2 linked regions of the Danio rerio genome follow. The protein of the gene in region 2 interacts with the protein of the main gene of each other region in a pairwise test. Links are inferred from orthologs where the notes say so. Each region holds a gene or a part of one and is shown on either strand. Other genes may lie near its edges.

The links.
Region 1: the proteins of poldip3 (region 2) and erh interact in a two-hybrid assay, tested with the Homo sapiens proteins (2 studies listed by BioGRID, with this or other methods). The link is inferred for Danio rerio from reciprocal best matches to the Homo sapiens genes POLDIP3 and ERH.

Annotation. Positions count from the first base shown.
Region 1 is NC_133195.1:36,354,659-36,372,131, forward strand, and holds erh (enhancer of rudimentary homolog), read right to left. Parts: upstream 9,853-17,473; 5' UTR 9,722-9,852; coding exon 9,719-9,721; intron 9,110-9,718; coding exon 9,022-9,109; intron 8,730-9,021; coding exon 8,609-8,729; intron 7,226-8,608; coding exon 7,123-7,225; 3' UTR 6,637-7,122; downstream 1-6,636. Other genes in the region: paplnb (papilin b, proteoglycan-like sulfated glycoprotein), read right to left, coding at 12,340-12,600, 12,693-12,768, 15,875-16,016, 16,962-17,042. UniProt on the Homo sapiens protein: May have a role in the cell cycle.
Region 2 is NC_133178.1:310,100-314,370, forward strand, and holds the start of poldip3 (polymerase delta-interacting protein 3), read right to left. Parts: upstream 2,801-4,271; 5' UTR 2,771-2,800; coding exon 2,703-2,770; exon of another isoform or gene 2,316-2,702; coding exon of another isoform or gene 2,287-2,315; intron 551-2,286; coding exon 1-550. UniProt on the Homo sapiens protein: Is involved in regulation of translation. Is preferentially associated with CBC-bound spliced mRNA-protein complexes during the pioneer round of mRNA translation. Contributes to enhanced translational efficiency of spliced over nonspliced mRNAs.

The sequences.
Region 1 (17,473 bases), on a different chromosome or scaffold from region 2:
TTCAGTCAAACGGGGTTAGCGTAGCTAGCGCCTCAGCTAGCAGGCTATCTCCTCTCGAGAGTCATTTTAACACAGAATTGCGCAAAACACACGCGAATGAATTTCAGAGACGTACCGATAACGCTATTTAATCATTATACTCACGCGAGGTCGGTGAAAAGGCGGGAAGAGTCGTGTATAAAGCGGCGCGTTCATAATAAGCTAAGCTATATTTTCTCCAGGTATTCCGCCATATTCTGGCTAAGGGCCGCGGTTGGACCAGCCAGTCTCTTCACGCATAAATAAACATTCCCCGATGCAACTACTTGAACAGAGTCACTTGTTTTGCTTTCCGGAACGACGAATGGCCAGCGCGAGCGTCGAGCACCATGAAATAGCAGCGTCTTGACGAAAAGTAATTATTAGCCCCACTGTGAAGATTCGGCCATCTTGGGTCCCCTCAGAAAGCCGCTACGGGGTTTCCTGGTTGCAGACGCAGGGCCGCCGCCACAGTTTAAAGACACAGTGCGCCAAAATGTCCAGCGCAGACAAACAGTGGTTTCGTAACACCACCAAACTCGCACTGCTGCTGCTGAAACGAGAGGGCTGTGGAGACTGGAAAGGAATGTGAATGAGGCTGAAAATACACGCGGACGCGCGCCTGCTGGAGCGCGCTGAAAGATTAACCTTGCTACTGTGTACAGTAAAATCAAATGCAGATGTTTAGGGTTGTTTCATTACCTTGTCACTGAGATCATACACAAATACATACTATAGTTTCTTGAACATAAGTCATCGTTATACGTTGGAAAAGCAAACTCTGCTGCACCATATCATCCTTATCCTGGGCAAAAAGGCCACTGTACCAGCTAAATCTCAAACCTCAAAGTCTTGACCAGTTGCACCACCAGCTCGTGGATTATATAAATGTAAATGAGGTGTTGATTATCTGTGCAAAACACATCATCACAATTTAAGTACTGATTCGACAGTGTATTTTGATATGTTGCCAGGTGGTGCATGATATATATATATATATATATATATATATATATATATATATATATATATATATATATATATATATATATATATATATATATGCATTTTGACTCTATTTACTTTCCAATAGATAAATATAGTGTTCTTTAGAAAGATGCAACCCCAACAACTGGGCTGTCATGCAAATCACAGCTTTTTAAATATTTTTTTCTGTCAGTATTTTTAAAAATGATACTGTAATTCTCTCTGTGCAAAATTACAAAAGATTTAGTGAAAACTTTGTTTGTTTTTTACATGTTTGGTCTATGAAATTTGAATTTAGATTTATTTATTTGAGAGGAACATCAAAAAGGAAACTTGAAAAGGAAAGATTTAGCAAAGTTGCTATTTTCCACATGCAGTCCCTGAACAGGTACATCTTAAAACAGTCAAATATATATATATATAGTTGAAGTCAGAATTATTAGCCCCCTTCAAAAAATGTTTCTTCTTTTTTAAATATTTCCTAAATGATGTTTATCAGAGCAAGGAAATTTTCACAGTATCTCTGATAATATTTTTTCTTCTGAAGAAAGTCTTATTTGTTTTATTTTGGCTAGAATAAATGCAGTTTTTAATTTTTTTAACACCATTTTAGGGACAAAATTTTTAGCACCTTTAAGCTATATTTTTTCTCGATAATCTACCGAACAAACCATCATTGTACAATAACTTGCCTAATTACCCTAACCTGTAGTTAACCTAATTAACCTAGTTAAGCCTTTAAATGTCACTTTAAGCAGTATAGAAGTGTCTTGAAAAAGACCTAGTAAAATATTAATTACTGTCATTATGACAAAGATAAAATAAATCAGTTATTAAAACTATCATGTTTAGAAAAGTGTTGAAAAAATCTGCTCTCTGCTAAACAGAAATTAGGAAAAAAATAAACAAGCGGTCTAATAATTCAGGGGGGCTAATAATTCTGTCATCAACTGTATATATTTATATTTTCATTTAAACTCGGATATGCATAAGCAAGTACTTAAATCAACTTGAGCTTAAAGTGAAACCACCATCTACCGGCCTGGCATGATCACCTGGCATGTTTAACACATTAGTCTTCATCAACAAGATGGTTTTGATGTCAAAAATGCAAAGAAAACTGTGTTTGCATTCACAATTGTTTATTACAATCAACTGTAACTCACATTTATAATTGCAATCATTTAGTCAACAGCTGAAGGACAGAACCAATTCTAGATATTCAACCATATTTGAATTGTTAGCTAACATACTATTTAATTTGTACATTTCGATATTAATTGCTTTCACCCAGTTGACCTTGATTTATTTTTTCTAAGTATTGGGGTCCAGGAGTCTTGTTGAAGATTCAAACAGACAAGTCACTTCATAAAAGTAGTTTTCTCAAAATATCTCAGTAAAAACTGAATCAACTTCCAAGAAAAAGAAGGGAAAAAAAGAGTTTTGTGACATTTCCCCAATATAAAAAGTAGAATTAAGAAGTCTACTAAATGTAACATTTATGCTAGATTGGGGTAAATCATAAATGTTACAAAATAAGAATTGCATTTTATTCTTACATTTATTTACAACAAGAATTATTGTGTCCAATGATTAAAGTGGTTCAGTCCAATCCTTAGTTACAGCTGCCATAAGACTGCTTGCAGTTCGTTAAACGTAACTTAGGTACTTTCCAAGAACAATGCAAGCTCACGGATCATGTAGCAAAAACAACAGAATAAAGCATGCCAGTCTAAAAGCTACTGCAACTAGTTGTTTGCCAATTAAACAACAATGCTTAATACAGTATTTTAGACAAAATGAAAATTTACTCACATGGTCCTTTAATTTCTTCATTTTAACACAAAACAAGATGTTATATGGAAAGTTGGAAACCAGCAGACATTGATATCCATATTAAAAATATACTATGAAAGTCAATGGTTGTTGCTTCCAAACGTTTTTTTTTTTTTTATTGCAATAACCGGAAATTACAATGAAATGAACAATACATACAATGCAAATATTACTTTTAACACAAACAGAGAATGACCAATTATAAAGTATTACAATGGTATGTCAAAGAGAAAGAAAAAATAAAATAATAAATTAATAAAAAGGAGAGGGCACATGAAAAAAACACAACAAAAATAAATGTATAATATTAAATAAAGCACATTTTAGAAGCTTTCTTGTTATGAGGATCTGAAATAGTATTTATTCTGTTTTTAAAAATACAAAAATTGGTTTACTTTTAGCACATGTAAGTATAAAAAAAACTTGCCAAATAATAATAATGATTAGGTTTACACAAAAACTTTAAGGAATTGTTTTTCTTTAATGTAAAATCCCAAAATAATGTCCATAGCTTAAAGAAAAACAACCATAAACCTTTTGATGTGGATTATTCACAACAGACCAGAAAGATTTAACAAATGGACATTCTCAAAATAAGTGAGCAACAGACTCAGAAGAAGTCTCAACTGCTTTCCAGTGTTCTTCAGGACACATTCATTTGTGAAACTCTGGAGTACGGGTAAATTATGGCAGAACTATCATTTGTGATGAGCTATTCCTTAAACAGGGCAAATGTTTCTTAAATTAAAATAAAGCGAGTGTCTTTTCCACAACACTATAGGTTTCACAGACATCAAAAAACTTTTTGTATGAGTATTTCTGAGAATAGCAAGTTCTTATTTAAACAATTAGCCCTGTAGCTGAAAAGCAAGACTTTCATGCTAGAGTACAGTACATTGTGCTTCTGGCAGTTGATAAACAGGATGGTCCTGATGTGATGTATAATTCTACATTTATCTCCCAATTAGAACACATCAGCTTCTTATAAACAAACATTGCATAATAAAGGAGATCTACATTAAGATATGAACTGATCTGGAGACTGACCGATGACAAGTGAATGGTGTGAAGATTTCATGAAGCATAGCAATGCATGCAAAATACACATTTTCATAATTGGGTATGTATTGGTGTTCATATTTTCTTTATCCTTTCTTTCTATGTATATATGCAGATGCTTGAATGGATTCTTGTGAATATGTGCATGTATTAATTATTCATCGAGGTTTATGATGGAGTAGCTGTACAATTGTGGGTGAACATTTGCATATACAGTTGAAGTCAGAATTATTAGCCCCCTGTTTATTATTTCTGTTTAACGGAGAGATTTTTTTCCAACACATTTCTAATCACTGATTTATTTTATCTTTGCCATGATGACAGTACATGATATTTGACTAGATGTTTTTCAAGACACTTCTATACAGCTTAAAGTGACATTTAAAGGCTTAACTTTAACTAGGCAGGTTAGGGTATTTAGGCAAGTTCTGTAGACTATCGAAAAATATAGCTTAAAGGGGCTAGTAGAAAAAAAAAAATTACTCTAGCCAAAATACAAATCAAATAAGACTTTCATCAGAAAAAATATTATCAGACATACTGTACAAATTTCCTTGCTCTGTTAAACAATTTGTGAAATATATAAAAAAGATAAAAATTAAAGGGACGCTAATTATTATGACATCAACTGTATGTATTTAGAATTTAAATATGTTTATTATCATAATTTGGCATGGTTGTTTAAAAAAATATATAACTGATGTATTTACATTTTCAAATGACTAAAGAGAAAAGACACTGACAACATTTCAACTGGCACATATAAAAATGCAAAATACATTATATGTCACATACACTTCCTATTAAAACATGCAAATGACCATGAGCTCTGAAATCCTTAATGCCATTTGTTGTTAAAGAAATAATTAAGGTAAATGTAGGATACAGACAAGAATTTGATTCAAAGGCAGTTGTATACAGCAGTGTTTCTCAACAACGTTCCCAGAAGACCACCAACACTGCATGTTTTGAATGCATACTTTCTGTCACACACTACATTTCTGTCAGTCTCTTCTAATGGGCTGATGATCTGAATCTGGTGTGTTTGGTTAAGGAGGCATGTAAAATGTACAGAGCTGGTGGTCCTCCAGAAATGTGGTTGAGAAACACTGGTAGACGGTGTATAACGCTGTTGCAGATGTTTGAAGTGTCTTCAGTGTCACATGAACCTTCAGAACTCTACATATATATTTTTGGTTAAGTTAAAAAGAACAGCATTTAAAAAAATAATAATAATCTTTTTAAACATTATAAAAACTACACCAATTCTATGTGCCACTGCTGAAAATTATTTCTGTCTCTAACCTTATGATTCTTAAAGAGCCCATATTATACATGAAATAGGGTCATATCTTGGTTGTAAGGGTCTCCAACAACAGTTTAATATGCATGCAAGGTCAAAAAACACTTTCATGGTCTTATAATCTGCATTTATTTTTACCTAATTATCCCAGCGACTCCTGTATGAATCGTTCAGGGATTCATTTGTTCCCAAACCCCTCCTTAGCGCGAAGCTAATCTGCGCTGATTGGACCGATGACAGTCTGTTGCGATTGGTCGACTGCCTTCAGTCAGAGAATGAAATGCCAAACAGCTAATCAGCAATATAAAAGTAATCACAGTTCATACACGCTAGATAGTGTAGGCGTTGATTTTAGCTGCCAGTGGGTCAATGTAAATACAGACTATGGACTTGAAAATACAGACGACTGACTATTTTATTGAACAAAAACTCCAAAAACAGTTGAGGAGATCTCCTAGCTTCTCACTCTGCTCTTTTCACAGACACACACACACACACACACACACACACACACACACACACACACACACACACACACACTCACACTTAACCCTGCTCCGGACGACAACGCGCGCGCACACACACACACACGCACACACACAAACACACACACAAACACACACACCTCCGGACGACAGCGCGCGCACGCACACACAGACACACACACTAACGTTACTCCCCGTCCACGGAGCTCCGTTAACGCAGCACGCGTCGCGTTTTTAACGTGACTTTGCACACTATAAGAGAATATAGCCAGTTAACCTCATACAGTACACGCGGTTACAAGTAACAAATCACAACTAAATACATTTGCAAGCTAGAGTCAACGAGGCAACTTTAATCGCACGTACTTACACTTGAGAAATGGAGGAAGAAACCCATCCTGACGTCTATCAGTAAGTTACTGATCCTTCCTTTAACAAACGCTGATGAAGTATTCTTTGTAGCATGTAGCTTCCAGAAGTTTCCAGTAGTTTCCAACTGCTTGGCTATAATGCTGAGGTTTCATCTTTGGGTAGAGACTCAATATATCCATCTGCAGTGTGACTTCAATCGACCGGCATGTTTGTGTGTGTGTGTGTTTGTGGGTGTGTGTGTGTGTGTGTGTGTGTGTCTCGGTTTCTGCGTCAGAGGGCGGGGCCTCAGGTTTGAAATCTCCCGGGTTTGCGCGTGCACGTGAATAACTTGGTTTCGTTCGTACGTCATGGCGAAACACCTAATGAATCCGTATCAAGGCGACTCGTTTGAAGCACTATGAGTCGACTCTTTTTTAGATGAATCAACCGTTTTTAACACTGTACACTAACAGATTTAAGCCTTAGCTGGATACTCCACTTCACTTAGAGCTGTGTTACACACTACATGGAGGGGAATTTTCAAAAACCCATAATATGGGCTCTTTAGGCTAAGAAAAAAAGAAAAAAGCACTGACATTTCCACGTTTTTTGAGAAGAATTTTATTGTTTGCCAGTTTTTACTACTGGATGCACAAATCAGAGAGGGCCAACAAAACCTTTAACAACACAGAGGACAAAAGTTGGGATATAAGAATAACTCGGAACCATCTCAACAACATCTGAAATGTGTAAATGTTATACTTTACTAAATCAAAAATAAATCCACAATATAAAACATCATTAATTGGGAGGGATCGGGAGCAACAACAACGAAAAAAATCCTAAAACTTTTCTTTCCCCAATATTACCCTCTAGCCCGATAAATAACCCAAGTCCCGAACTCCGAAGTTACAAAAATGTGATTTAAAATGCAAAATATTTTCACTCTATGCTTTTGACATAACTCAAAGGACATGCATTCAACAAAATCTGAACCAGTTGGCATCAATTCACTGTTCAGTTCAGCCACGTCTGTCCTGTGATGAAGCGTAGTTGGGGACTAGTTCAATAATTCCACCGTCTTTATTTTCCAGCCTGTTGGGCCTGACGCCTCAACAGCACATAGATCTTTTCTTTGATCCAGTCTTTGTTGTAAGGCTGGTAGGTTTGTGTGTCCGCTCTGTACCTGTTCAAATAATTAAAGACAATTGTACATGATTGACGAGCATGAGCATTTAATAGGCCCTGTTTACACCGATATGTTTTAGTTTTAAAACGGCAATTAACAACAAAAACTATCCACATCCACACTGGCCATTTGCCTAGAATTTCGCCAAGGAGGAGAGATAATAGTACAGTCTTTTTGAGATACAGTCATACAGTCTTTTTGAAAGCAACATTTTTTGTCATCCTTACTGCAAACTTATATGAGCGATAATATCATTAAATGTTGAGGATGGCCTCACTATATTTTCCAGCAGAAAAGGGGGTCTCAGGCAAAAAAGGTTGGAAACCTATGGGTCTACAGGCTCCGTTTTCTTATAAATATGCATACTGTGAAGATGACAGTAATACAAGTATGTAGCTATACGATGCCTGAACATTTTTGGTGTCTATTTAAATCCTTATATCATGTTTTCATTGATTTTTTAAGATAGTGAAGCAGCGTAGTCAGAGTGACATGAATGACTATATGAACGCTGTGATTGTTATAAAGTACACTGTTCCCATTGAAAATTTACCCGACGTGTCCTCAGGAGGTAGTTTTCCATATAAAACTTGCAAAGTCTGAACTTTCAAGGAAAGGATGCAAGACTGAACTTAATATTGCATTTAATATTGGGAAAAGGCCTGAATCCGATCCGTTTTGAGCCTCTATTTTTCAGCAGTATTTTAACACTTTAACTTCCCCACCAAGAACTTTTTCTTGGGATTGCATTTCTTAAATTCTAAAGTTAACACACTCGATGCATTTTTTCCCCATCACATCCCATAATTTTAAAAATATCAACCGCTACCAAGTGGATAATATGTTGGTTTATGGTAAAAGTACTAAGAATCAATACACATACTATAAAAATTCTAAAAACATGAAGTGTAAGACTAATTTATAACAATATGACTCATTTTAAAACAATTTAAATAAAACATTTTAAATACTGAATCATCTTTATTTTTTTAAGTATGCCATACAATATTTCTTATTATTAAATAATTCAAGATTTCTTTTTTTTGCTTTTTACAATAAAATCAAAACTAAGTGTAGTAGTGCAAGAGGATTATGTTTGTTAGATTTTTTGTAAAGCAACAATGCTGTTTGTGTAAACCTTAATTTAAAACAATCAAAATATGGTCAACCATTTGATAGAGCAGACAGTTAAAGGGTTAACACAAAAGCGACCTCTTCAGCATTTCCAAAACACTCCGCTTTCAATGATCTAAAACTCTGGGGTAATCTGAACGGAAGACGTCACTGTAGCAAAACTTATGCGTTTTAAAACTAAAACTTTTTAGTGTAATCGGGACCTTAGACATTAGGCTTTGTCAAGTGAAAAGTGTGATTACTTACACAAGACAGCTGAGATCGGCAAGATCATCAACAAAGTCGAATAACTGGCTTATGTCATATGTGATGGAGGGACTGTTGGGATTCATTCTCTTCAGATGCTCTTCATACATCTTACACACTCCTTTTGGTAAGAAGGAAAATGGTTAAACACGCATTAAAAGTAGTAGTGCAATATTCAGTGTACAATAAAGATAGTTCACCCCAAAAAAAATTTGTTTTCTCTTCACAGTTACAAAACCAGTTTGAGTTTCTTACTTTCTGAAGACATTTTAAAGAGAGGTGAAATCCTAAAGCCACTGACTTCCATAGTTTTTGTTTTTTCTACTATGGTCAATAGTTCAATTTTTGGGTGAACTATCCCTTTAAAGCATTATAATTGTTTATAACACACACAAAGAAAAGAATTATCCTACCTTCCATACATTCGTTGACAGACTCATAATCTGCATATGTTCTGCCTTCTGGTCTCTTGGTGGGCTGCACCAGCAGAATTGTGTGAGACTGAACGATAATAAAGAAAAAAACATTTTATTGTGTTTATATCATAAATCAAGTAAAAGTTAGAAACACTACATATCTAGACGACGAATTAAACAATTGCGTGGAGCCCCCTACTGACAGGAACACAGCTTTGGCTCCTGACAGTGAGATTAATCGTGCGTTCATTTCAAAAACATGACGTGTTGTTTAGTTATTCATGTTTGACGTATGAACTAAATACACTTTGGGAATATAACGTTAGCTGATATGGATGCTTTGACACAATACCCAGAAAACAGCAGCTGTTGTACTCGAACCCTCCCCCAAACTAAAACACTACATGTTCCTCACAAACACTGATATTACCAATACTGAAGCTGAACAGGAGTTTGTTCCGGTCGAACTTTCAACAAAGAACCTAACTTTGCATGTGTGGTATTTCGAGACACATGAAAGCTCGCTGTGTTGAGGATTATTCGACGTTCTCTCGTAACACACTGCTAGCCGCGCGCGTTCGTTCACTTTTATTTTTGTTGAATGTGTTGGAGCAGTCGGTGAAACGCGATTTTTCTGATATGGTGGCTGTCTAAGGATATATACGAGTAGAAAAAACATCGACAAAATACTTACCATATCTGGTCCTGATGTATAAAAGTGGCGTTGAACGCTGGGGTAACCACTGACGGCTATTCACTGTTAGCAGCGAAGGAAACAGCAGGAATGTTCAAGAAACGATCACACTTCCGGTGTAGGCGAAGCGTTGGCTTTTCAAGATAAAAGCTTTTTCACTGTTACGGAAATGGTATTTATTTTTGTCGTTAATGACATTACTTATAATTTTTACTTCATATTTTGTATTCATTATTTTGATGTAATATTCAAATGACTGCAAGTGAAAAAGAAGTCAGCCTATTTACTATTATTTATGGATAAACGATGTATATAAGACTTTGCAATACTGTTTACAAATATTTGTTTAAATTTTGTACACACACACGTACACACACACACACACACACACACACACACACACACACACACACACACACACACACACACACACACACACACACACACATAAATAAAAATTAAATATTAGAAATAGGCTTTACAATATTATTTACAAATATTTCTATATTTAAATTTTTATAATTTAATGATTTTATTTTATTTATCCTGTAATTTTAACCTACATCACAAATACATAGTATAGTTTTTATCATCAAAATGTTATATCTGTAACAATGGTTTACAAAATTATAAATTCTTATTGTCACACATTTGTACCTAATTTATATATATTTTTAATTTAATAATAAAAAAATAATAATAATTTTAGGGTCAGTATTATTAGCTTACTTGTGATATAGATGTGAATTATTAGCATTTTGTTTTTGATTGATTGCTTGTCTTGATAACTTGTCGAATGTAAAACTAATAAATAACTTTTGATAAGCCTTTAAATCGTAGTTTAAAAGTACTGTATGTTTTGACTCTTCTAAAGCATAAAAATACTATAATATGTTTGCAGATGTTTAGTAAACATGCCACATGAACATTCTTGTTTATCTGAAAAACAATGTTAAAGTCAGATATTCTGCTTTGTAAATGTAAGTTATGTGCCGGAACGTCTGTCTCTGTTTTGGTTATTTTAACCCACCTATTGCAACTTTAGATTATATTTTAGCACCCCGGGTTGCCTTGGTGAAAAACGGAGCAATTCATTCATTCATTCATTCATTCATTCATTCATTCATTCATTCATTCAGTAACTCATTCATTCATTCAGAAAGGCTCTCAAAGCATGGTTCCATGACCACAACGCTACCTCCGTGAGAAAGTAGCAGACTCTGGAATGAGACGCAGATTCAGTTCCACATGAGGTTATTAATTTGCAAATAATATAAATATTACGAGTGTAAACATTAGGTGAGCAGGTTACATTGTAACCGCATGCCCTAACAACATGCTACATGACAAGATTAGTAGTTATTAGCAATTTAGCTGTTTGCACCAGAAGAAACATGAAAGAAATTTAAATAAAGACATTTAGAGGCACAGAATATGTACTCACTCATGAAAAGGTAAGTTTTAAAAAATCTATTTAATACATATTAAACCTCTTTGACATTATTAAATGTAGATGCTGAATCACTCATTTGTGTTGTCTTGCACTGAGTCACAATTCTAAAGTTCAATCAGTTTATTTTATTTTCAATATCTGAGGTGAACTATCTGCTGCTGCTTTCAGTATATGGCAATAGATGTCATGTAAAATGCCATCCAAACTCACATTGTTAACATTTAACACTGAATAAAGCACATGAGGTGACCATTGTCAAAGTTTTCTGTTGTTCAGCTGCAAGATATAGAAACTGTTTCTAATTTATCAATTGAAGGAGTTTGTTAGGACAAAATAAATGAATAATATTCCTTCTATCCTTCTATTACGTAGCTTTTGTATAGAACGCAGTTTAAATCAGCCTTTAGGCTAGACAGTCAGACTCGCCTGTATTGGTCGTCACTCTAATAACCTGCGCATGCGTTTGTTTTGATCCAGGAATGTAATACAGCTCAATAAATTTACATACTGCACCTTTGCAAAGTATAAAAGCATCTTTCAAAATAACTAAAAGATTCTGTCAGCACATACAAAGACAAAAGTTTTAAAGCATGTTGGAAGATGATCGCCTCTTCATTAAACGTCACTTAATATTTGAATAAATATAAATATTTGAAACTATTTAATAATTTTATTAAATGTAATAATAACAAATATAATAATAATATATAATCTATCTATCTATCTATCTATCTATCTATCTATCTATCTATCTATCTATCTATCTATCTATCTATCTATCTATCTATCTATCTATCTATCTATCTATCTATCTATCTATCTATCTATCTACACCCACCCATCCATCCATCCATCCATCCATTCATCTACATGCAAGATTAGATATATTCAAGTTAATTCTTCAGTGCAGTTGGTTTGTGTTAACACTTTAATGGCTTAGGAAGAGTATACAACCAAAGTACTTACACCGAAACATAAAAAGAAAGGAAATTATCTTTAGCTTTGATGCAGTCATGTTTGATAAAGTGTTTCTCTCTCATCCCTTAAAAAAGCTTAGTTTAAACAAATCAATGCCAGTAGATGTCAGTATAAACCCAAGACTGCTTTCAAATCAGCACAATTGAAGTTTTATCTACATGTTTATGAGTTGGATTTGTCTGGACATTTATTATGCACGGGATCTCACTCTATAACCTCTGACATCGTAGATCACTCTCCTGGACGTTGGTTCTCTTCCTCTGACAGAAGCCTTACACGTCCGCTCGCACGCCACCTTGGAGACAAAGTTATTGCCATTTCCTTGGCATCCACCAAACCAGAACTGGGAGCAAGAGCCAGAGGAATGATCAAAGTAGAAGCGAGATTTATATTCATAACAGGGCCCGACATCTCGTGCCAAGGAGCACACACTAGCAGAGGGACTGTGATCCTGAAAACAAAAGCAAAGACGTGTTTATATAATTAGATGAAATTATATGATGAGAGGAAAACTGACAGGGAAAATTAAATGAGCTGTTTTACCCCATAGGAGGAGTCAGGACATCCCGCTCTTCTGTAACCCAGAGCAGCTGTTATTCCATCCAGACAGCAGCCGTATCTTTCATCACACACACACACACACACGTTCAGTTCACTGGTTTGATCCTGAATATATCCAAATCTGGCCTTAATAAAAATCCAGTTCATTGCTGTTCACTACTGTTTTATTTAATTATATCACTTAGTCACCCATATGTCATCTATATACTCCCTATAACTGTATGACTTTCTTTCTTCTGTGGAACATAATGCAAACTATTTTAAAGGATATTTTTCAGTTTTGGTTTCCGTTTTTTGCTTAAACCTTTTCTTTAGTGATGGAAACCGTTCTGAATAATCATTCTAAAGTAAAAGTACAACTACTTACCCAAAAATGTAATGCAAGTAGAGTTAAAGTACCTGTTTTAAGTATTAAAGTATGAGTAAACAGTAGCCCTTTCGAAAGTACTCAAGAGTAGTAAGTAGTGAGTATAACGCTGGGAAAGTTTGAAGCACTTACATGTAATTTGTGAATGTGTGTGTGTGTGTGTGTGTGTGTGTGTGTGTGTGTGTGTGTGTGTGTGTGTGTGTGTGTGTGTGTGTGTGTGTGTGTGTGTGTGTGTGTGTGTGTGTGTGTGTGTAAACGTAACATTCTGTAGTGCATTTAGTTGAAGTTTAAGGCCATTTCGGTTATCATACAGGAAACATCTGTCTTTTTCTCATTGACATTCAGTCTAAACAGTCTCTGGGTCATTGTATGTCTTCTTGGACACTTACTGCTTCCAGTTTGCTGGAAGACTTAAGGTAGATCAGTATGATGCGATTTACTTTCTATGTGTGATATGATTAGACAGGAATCGCAGTGCAGGACTGATTTTTCTAATCCACTGACAGGAAATAATTAAAAGTAGTGACTGCAGATTGAGGGAAAGTAGTAGAGTAAAAGTACCAATGCTGCACTAAACATTTACTTAAGGGAAAGTAAAGTAACTTAGTAAATGAAAATTCATTAGAAAAACTACTTCATTTCAGTAATCTGAGTATTTGCAATTTGTTACTTTACACCACTGTTTGTCTTAAACCAAATTGTTTGGTCAGAATTATTGAACATATTTTGTTTCCTCTGATTCTATTTTAATGATAATGTCTGAGGCTCAGACACACTCTCTCAGTTCATAAATAGATTAAATAACTATCTTTTTAGTAAAGCATACACACAGTGCATCACACAACGGTATGATGTATGAGCGTGCTCCACGCAGGTGAGTGTGCTTGACAAACTACCCTTAGAACACACTCTGCTTATCTAAATGCAACTGACATTTTGTTAGAAACACTCATGTGCCTTACATGTTTGTTTATATAACTGCTATTTTTATTTATAGCACTTAATTTTAGGCATGAACAGCAGCTACGCTAATTATTTTATTTATTCTCAATTTCCACCTGGGGATAATGACCCCAAGGTCTCTAGAGATTATGCAGCGCCATTAATGCGATCCAAGACCTGTGAAGAAATGATGCCAAGGTATCCATAATCCTGGACCAGGCCGTATCCTGAGCAGATGCTGTGGTGGTCATGGAGGAATGGAGAGCATGAGACTGATTCCTGAAAGACCACAGTGACAGACGAGTCTTTGCATTGATCGCGTGGGCCAGCCTGAACACCCACCAGTGACCTATTTATACCTGCAGCTTTTTCACAATATACATTGTTCTACAGCCTCCAACACCTAGACTGCAGCTCTGCACAAGAAGTTTGGTCAGAGGAGAAATGGTTGTGCCCAACTGAGCCTGTTTTTTTTCTCGAGGTTTTTTTCCTTCACTTTTGTCAATTGGTGGAGTTTGTTCCTCGCCATTGGCTTGATTGGTTTGGGACTTGTGGAGCTGCACATCAATGGACTTGCTCTTCAGTTGTTTGGACGTCCAGCAGTGAAATTTAACCACACTGAACTTAACTGAACTGTATTTTAACTCTGAAAACTGGACTGACAGGGTTTCAATTTACTAAACCTCTATGTTAAGCTGCTTTGAGGAAATCTACATTGTATTAGCGCTATAGAAATAAACATGAATTCGACTGAACTGAATATTATTTATGTTTCAATGATTTTGTTCCATATAACAGATCTCAGCTAAGAATTATGTTAAGCAATCAGTTGTGGTTTACAGTTAAAAAAATATAAACATTTATTTATTTATTTAAATTTTTGGTCCATAAAATGGTAGTCAATGATAACCAAATCTGTTTAGTCAAGAATGTTAATAACCAATTATTTTTGATTGTCGTTGACTTCCATTCAAAAAAGAAAATAGTTTGTTTATCAACATTTAACAACAAACACTTTTTGTTCCCAAGTCAGTGTAAACTAGAAGTTGCTAAGACTTTTATTTTAGTATTTTGATGTATGCAGCAGCACAGTGGATTATTGGTTAGTTCTGCATGTTCTCCATGTGTTCGAGTGGGTTTCCTCCCGATGTTCCGGTCTCCCCCACAGTCCAAAGACATGACCGAAAAGTTAATTCGATTAACTAAATTGGCTATAGTGTATGAGTTTATGTGTGAATGTGAGAGTGTATGGGTTTTTCCCTGTACTGGGTTACAGCTGGAAGGCCATCCGATGGGTAAGACAAATGCTGGAATGGTTGGCGGTTCATTTTGCTGTGGTGACCCCTAATAAATAAGGGGCTAATCTGAAGGAAAATAAATAAATGAATGTTGACGTACTTCCAACTGAAACACAATATTTAAAAGGAACAGGGCTTTCTTTTTGTGCATCATTCCCTCATAGCAAACTAATGGTAGGAGTGGCATGGTTAAATTTATTGTGACTGAACAGAGAAGGATTACCACGCAGAAGCAAATGGTCAGAGTTTGATTGAAGATTACAAAAACAAACTTTTTTTTTCAGTGGATTCATTTGCAAAGATTAATGGTTCACCTAAACAATAAGTAAATACAAATTCAAATGGAACATTTTTGTCCATACTATGTAAATTAATTGCTCTGTTATGTTCCACAGAAGGAAAAAATCTTTTGGAATAATACAAGCATCTTTTTTTGGAAGAGAATAGAGGGTAATTCAACGATTTATTTTATGGCATTCCAATCTATTTATCTATATATCTACAAATTGACTTGTGTCAGTATTAAATTTTATGTGTTTGTATGTATATGTTGGCACCTGGATCTCTGGCAGTCATCATGAGCACAGCCTTCTCCACGAGGCCCAGAGGCTGTAGTGTGGCCATCAGGACAGCAGCCGTAATGAGACTGAGCGCAATGAGGACCAGTCACTGTGGGATAAGGATCGCTTGGTCTGTAAACTACAGTGCAAATATCAGCAAATGCAACAAAATATATGCATATGATAAATAGTTAACACTTTACAATAATGTTGTATTGGTTAATATTGGTTAATGCATTTACTAACATGAACAAACATTCATTCATTCATTCAGTTTCTTTTCAGCTTAGTGCATAAATTAATCGGGGGTCGCCACAGTGGAATGAACCGCCAACTTATCCAGCAAATGTTTTACGCAGCGGATGCCCCTCCAGCCGCAACCCATCTCTGGGAAACATCCATACACAGACAATTTAGCCTACCCAATTTACCTGTACCGCATGTTTTTGGACTGCGGGGGAAACCGGAACACCTGGAGGAAACCCACGCGAATGCAGGGAGAACATGCAAACTCCACACAGAAACGCCAATGACCCAGCCAAGGCTCGAACCAGTGACCTTCTTGTTGTGAGGTAACAGCACTACCTACTGTGCCACTGCTACACCCATGAAGAAACAATGAACAATATTCATTCATTCATTCAGCAGAATGAATCACCAATTATTCCGGCATATGTTTTACACAGCGGATGCTCTTCCAGCCGCAACCCATTACTGGGAAATACACACTCATTCACACACACACACACACACACACTTATACACCACAGCCAATTTAGTTTATTCAATTCACCTATAGCGCATGTCTTTGGACTGTGGGGGAAACTGGAGCACAATGAACATTATATTTAATATAATATTTATTCATAGTTGATTAACATTAGTTAACAAGCATGAATTTGGATTTTTAACAATGCATTAGTAAATGTTAAACTATGATTAATAAATGCTGTTCATGTATTGTTCATTATTAGTTCAAGTTAGTAAATGCATTAACTAATGAAACCTTACTGTAAAGTTTGACCAAACATTATGGATAGACACAATAATTAAACAACTGCTTTATTTGTCACAGTCTTTTAACCTGATACTGGGCCGTGAGTGTAAGACACAAATCCACGCAAGGAGCTCTCGTAACCATTGGGGTTCTGCACACTGGGCACCGCTAAACCAAAGCAACACAATGAAAGAATCAGTACTTCATAACACAGAAGGATTTCTGCCAAAATATGAGGATATAACCTATAGGGGAAATATCTAGTTCTGAACATGCTAATTTATTATATTTATAACAAAATATATTTTTGTTGTACCCATCATTAGAATACAGCTGGATAAATGTACACACACATCAATATAATACATCTGCATATTAGTTTATTTAATAACCAATCTGTTTTCTACTGTTTATTATTTGAAACCTTTTTATTTTTAATAGTTTTAAATTATATATATTATTATATTTTGTTAATGAAAACTAAAATAGAGAGAAGATTCCATGAGCCAAAGAGAGAAATTTAAACGAATCATTACTGTCTTAACTGAAACTGCAGCAAATGGGGAAGTGAAAATTAATAAATAATTTAGATAAATATG
Region 2 (4,271 bases):
TGCGCTCTGATTGGACGTCGTAGGGACACTCCTCTTCAAGCTCAACCTATCACGTGCATCAACAACTTTTGTGATCCCGCCCCCTGGCTGTAAGGCCACACCCACTCTGGTGGTGAGTGTGTGTGCGCGAGGGCTGGTGTTGTGTATGTGTACGTGTGGGACCCCGGGGCCGCTGGGCCGGGCGGAGGCTGGGGCGGGGCCGCTGGCGGACGGCTGCTGCTGCTGCTGTTTGCGCAGGTTGATCATCAGCCGGGCGTCCTGCATCGCACTGGCCCCTCCCCCTCGGCTCTGCACAGCACTGGTCCCACCTCCTCGGCCCCGCAGCCGCAGCCGAGCGTCTTTCTGGCCCAGCTTCTCCCTGGCGTCCTTCACCGGAAACACTGACGGCCGCGACAGAGTCTGAACTGCAGCTCCGCTAGCCGAAATCTGGAGGCGTTTCCCCCCGCTGGCTCCACCCACTCCCAGCCTCTGTCTGACATCACCACTGCCAATCTTCTGCCGGGCATCAAAGGCCATGTTCAGTGGCCCCGCCCCTCTGCCATATACAGGCCTGTGGACAGACGACAACAGGAGTAAACCGTTACCTGGAGGCTAACGTTCACACACACACTGTGTGTTTAGTGATGTGTGTTTAGGCTCAGTCACTCGTTTTCTTTTCAGCTTAGTCCCTTTATTAATCAGGGGACACCACAGTGGAATGAACCGCCAACTTATCCAGCATCTGTTTTACACAGCGGATGCCCATCCAGCTGCAGCCCAGTACAGGGAAACACCCATACACACTCACTCATTTACACACACAAAACCCCGCCTCTGGTTTCATTTGATTGGAGAATAGGAAAATACATGACGCTTTTACCACTCAAGAGTTTACTTTTTTCAACTGCGAGTGCTCCGTACGCAACGACAATAACGCAAGGCGCAAAAGCAGCGCAAACACTCGCAGCCGTTAGTAAACCATTCAACAGATGCATCTCTCAACGCAAACGTGCGATCGCTGAAATCGGCCCCTTATACTGCCAAACGCTAAAAACATTACATAATATCTGTAAATCATTTAACTGACACCATTAATCGCTTACAAACACACCGGCTGCGTCACAAACCGCATACTTCCATACTATACAGTATGCTAAAATCAGTATGCGAGCCGAGTAGTATGTCTGAATTCATAGAATTCGAAAATCAGTATGCGAGAAGTACCCGGATGACTTACTACTTCCCGCGAGATTCTGAAGTGCGCATTCCATGCATGCTGCGCTATCCCATAATGCCCCACGAGAGAATTCATGAATGGGAGTAAAACGACGCAACTGACCCAGGTAGGTCATGTGACCATGACAAAATGGCGGATGTAGTACGTCCGAATTTCATTCATACTTCTCACATTCATACTGTATAGAACGCACTTTTCCAACGGCCGAGTCGTACGTTTATAATACAAATGCAGCACCTACTGAGTAGCAGATAACCACCTGTTCTGTTAACGGTTAATTGCTTATTATGAGCATCCCTAAACACAAGTGTGCACTACTGGTGGAGCATCTGACTGGATGTAAACCACAGGTCTCAAACTGGACTCCTGGAGAGCCGCAGCTCTGCTCCAACCCTGATCAAACACGGCTCATCAGGTGTTCGAGACTACTGGAGACGATTCAGCTGAGAGCTGGAGGTGTTGGAGCTAAACTCTGCAGAGCTGCGGCCCTCCAGGAGCTGAGTTTGAGACCCTTGGTTTGAATGGAGTGCCCTAAACCCTTGAGCACTTAGGAACTACACTGGTAAACGTCACAATCGCAGTGCATTCTGGGACATTAGAAGCTGACTCGGTCAAAATAGAGGGTATGTCCATGTAAGCTTCCCTCCTTCACTTGATGAAGTGCAACACACTGTAAAAAGGTGTTGGTGATTAACCATGAGGGAACAAGGGTAGGGAAGTTCGCGAGTGTGTGTCTAAAAGTGTAGTGGAACACAGCCCAGATGATGGACATGCTGCATCACAGCGCTTGTGCTTATCGACAGCATTTAACCCCTCAGGAGTAAACTAAGGGGGCTCCCTCTCCTCATAGTGTGCATGAGAAGTGTACTAAACATCCATAACAAAGACAACATTTCTCTAATCATCTCCTGCAACACATTAGCTGTATATTCCGTCAGGCCTGAGTGATGTCTTCATGGGCAGTTTGAATAATAACACACTGGTGTAAGCGCGGTCAGGCTGAGCTCTGTAAGCTCTGGCTGGTGTGTTCAGCACTCTTCACTGCTCCACACACACCGACTGCAGCTCACCGGTCGTTATTCTCCCTCAGATGACGCATGTTGTCGGTCGGCCGATCCACCGATAATCACCGGGAGACTCGGTTAGCATTAGCGGCGGTGGAGCAGACTCTCGGTTTGCGGATAGTAACACTATGATGGTCAAATACACTATGATGAGCGGATTAACTGTAATGTTCGAGGTTTGTTTGTATATAAAAAAAAACAGCAACGCGCAGGACGCCATGAATGACACGCGTCAGCCAATGAGAACACGAGCTGACGCGCGAGCGCGACACTTCAGCCAATCAGCGGAGGGTGAAGGCGGGATATCTCGCTAAGCAGAGTCTCTACAGACTCCACACGTCCTGCGATCATTAATAAACGAGCTTGTGTTGATCAATACAGGTGATCAGTAACTGCTGTGCGGAGCGCCCGGGCTGCTGTACCTCTTACTGGCTCCTCTCGCGGTAAAACTGCGCCGACGAATCACTTCATCCAGAGACAAGTCCGCCATATCTGCGCCTGCTGGTTCTCTGCGCACATCAACGCGCATGCGTTTCACTTTCATATGGGCGGGGCGAAGTGACGTGTGACGGACAGCGGAAAGGGTCAAAACACACCAAAGGGAAAACAAAACGCGAAAGGATTCATCCGCCGCCCTAACAATAGGGTATGCGGAGCTAGTGCTTCCTCCCATACTGATAAACTTCCGGTGAACGGTTAATGTGACTTTTTTTTATTTTATACGGCTCCTTTTACAGCACTGATGTTTTAAATGTAATTAAAATATAATCAGTTTAATAAACTTTGGCATTCATTTAGTTGCTCAAGCGTAAAACGAGACAGAAAGCCGTTTGCTCGCATGCACCCGTCAGGATCGGCAGGCTAGCGCTGAAGCTCCATTGAATAAACTGAGGTTAAATAAATGCTCGTGTTATAAAGACATGGCGGGGAAATGTAATGTAATGCAGTGTTTCTTGTACAATCTGAGATTTTTAAATTTTTTTAAAGAAAACAGACCTTAAACGCCCAGAGTTTGATCAGTTCAGCGGAAGCGCTTGACCCAGGTGACTGGCAAATTAAAAGTCCTCCCGCATACTTCCACATATACCCAATTATTTTATCAAGAGCGAATTCTGTAAGCAGTTAATTGAGCATATATAGGCGATTTCCTCCCTTATACACCGCGTTAGCAATAATAATACTATTTGTTCAGGTTATTGCTGTAATAATGGCTTAATGCTTGAAAATAAAGACAAAATGCAGTATAGTGTTGGTTAAAACACATTGTACACAGACAAGCTTTACTCATATATGAAGAACAGAGCTTAATGTGGATTAATGCAATAGGAATATTTGATGTATCTCTATATGTCACACTCCTACTGCCATCATGAGCGTTAGAATGAGCCGTCTTGGAGAGTTTGAAGATTTATTGATAACTTTACATAGAAACAGTCATTAAAAATTAAAGTAATACAGCCAGTGTGTGTAATTATGTATTTATTTCACCTCCAATCTGATGGAGAAACACAATAACACAAATATAATACCATGCAAATACTACAAAACATCACAGTTAACCCTTTTAAACCGGTACAGTTTAATAACCGTCATAACATCAGGGTTTATTTTTAAGGGAACAGTTTAACTCCGATATAGAAACTGAAGATCCAGTGATCATTCACTCTCCATATCCTCCATTTCCCAGACCTCTTTAAGTCTTTCTTCTGTTAAACATTAAAGAAGATATTTTGAAGAATGTTGGAATCCTGTACCCGCTGCCTTCCATTTGCTTTTCCTACAATGGAAAGTCAATGGTTACAGGTTTCCAACATTCTTCAAGATATCTTCTTCAGTGCTCAACAGAAGAAACTCATAAAGGTTTGGAACTACTTGTGAGATGAGCTATTCCTTTAACACCACCAACAGAAGTCATTAAATGACTATAGTGCAGACCCAGATGGCAGTCTCCATTTTAATCCGCTGCACATTTACACAAACAACAACAGGAG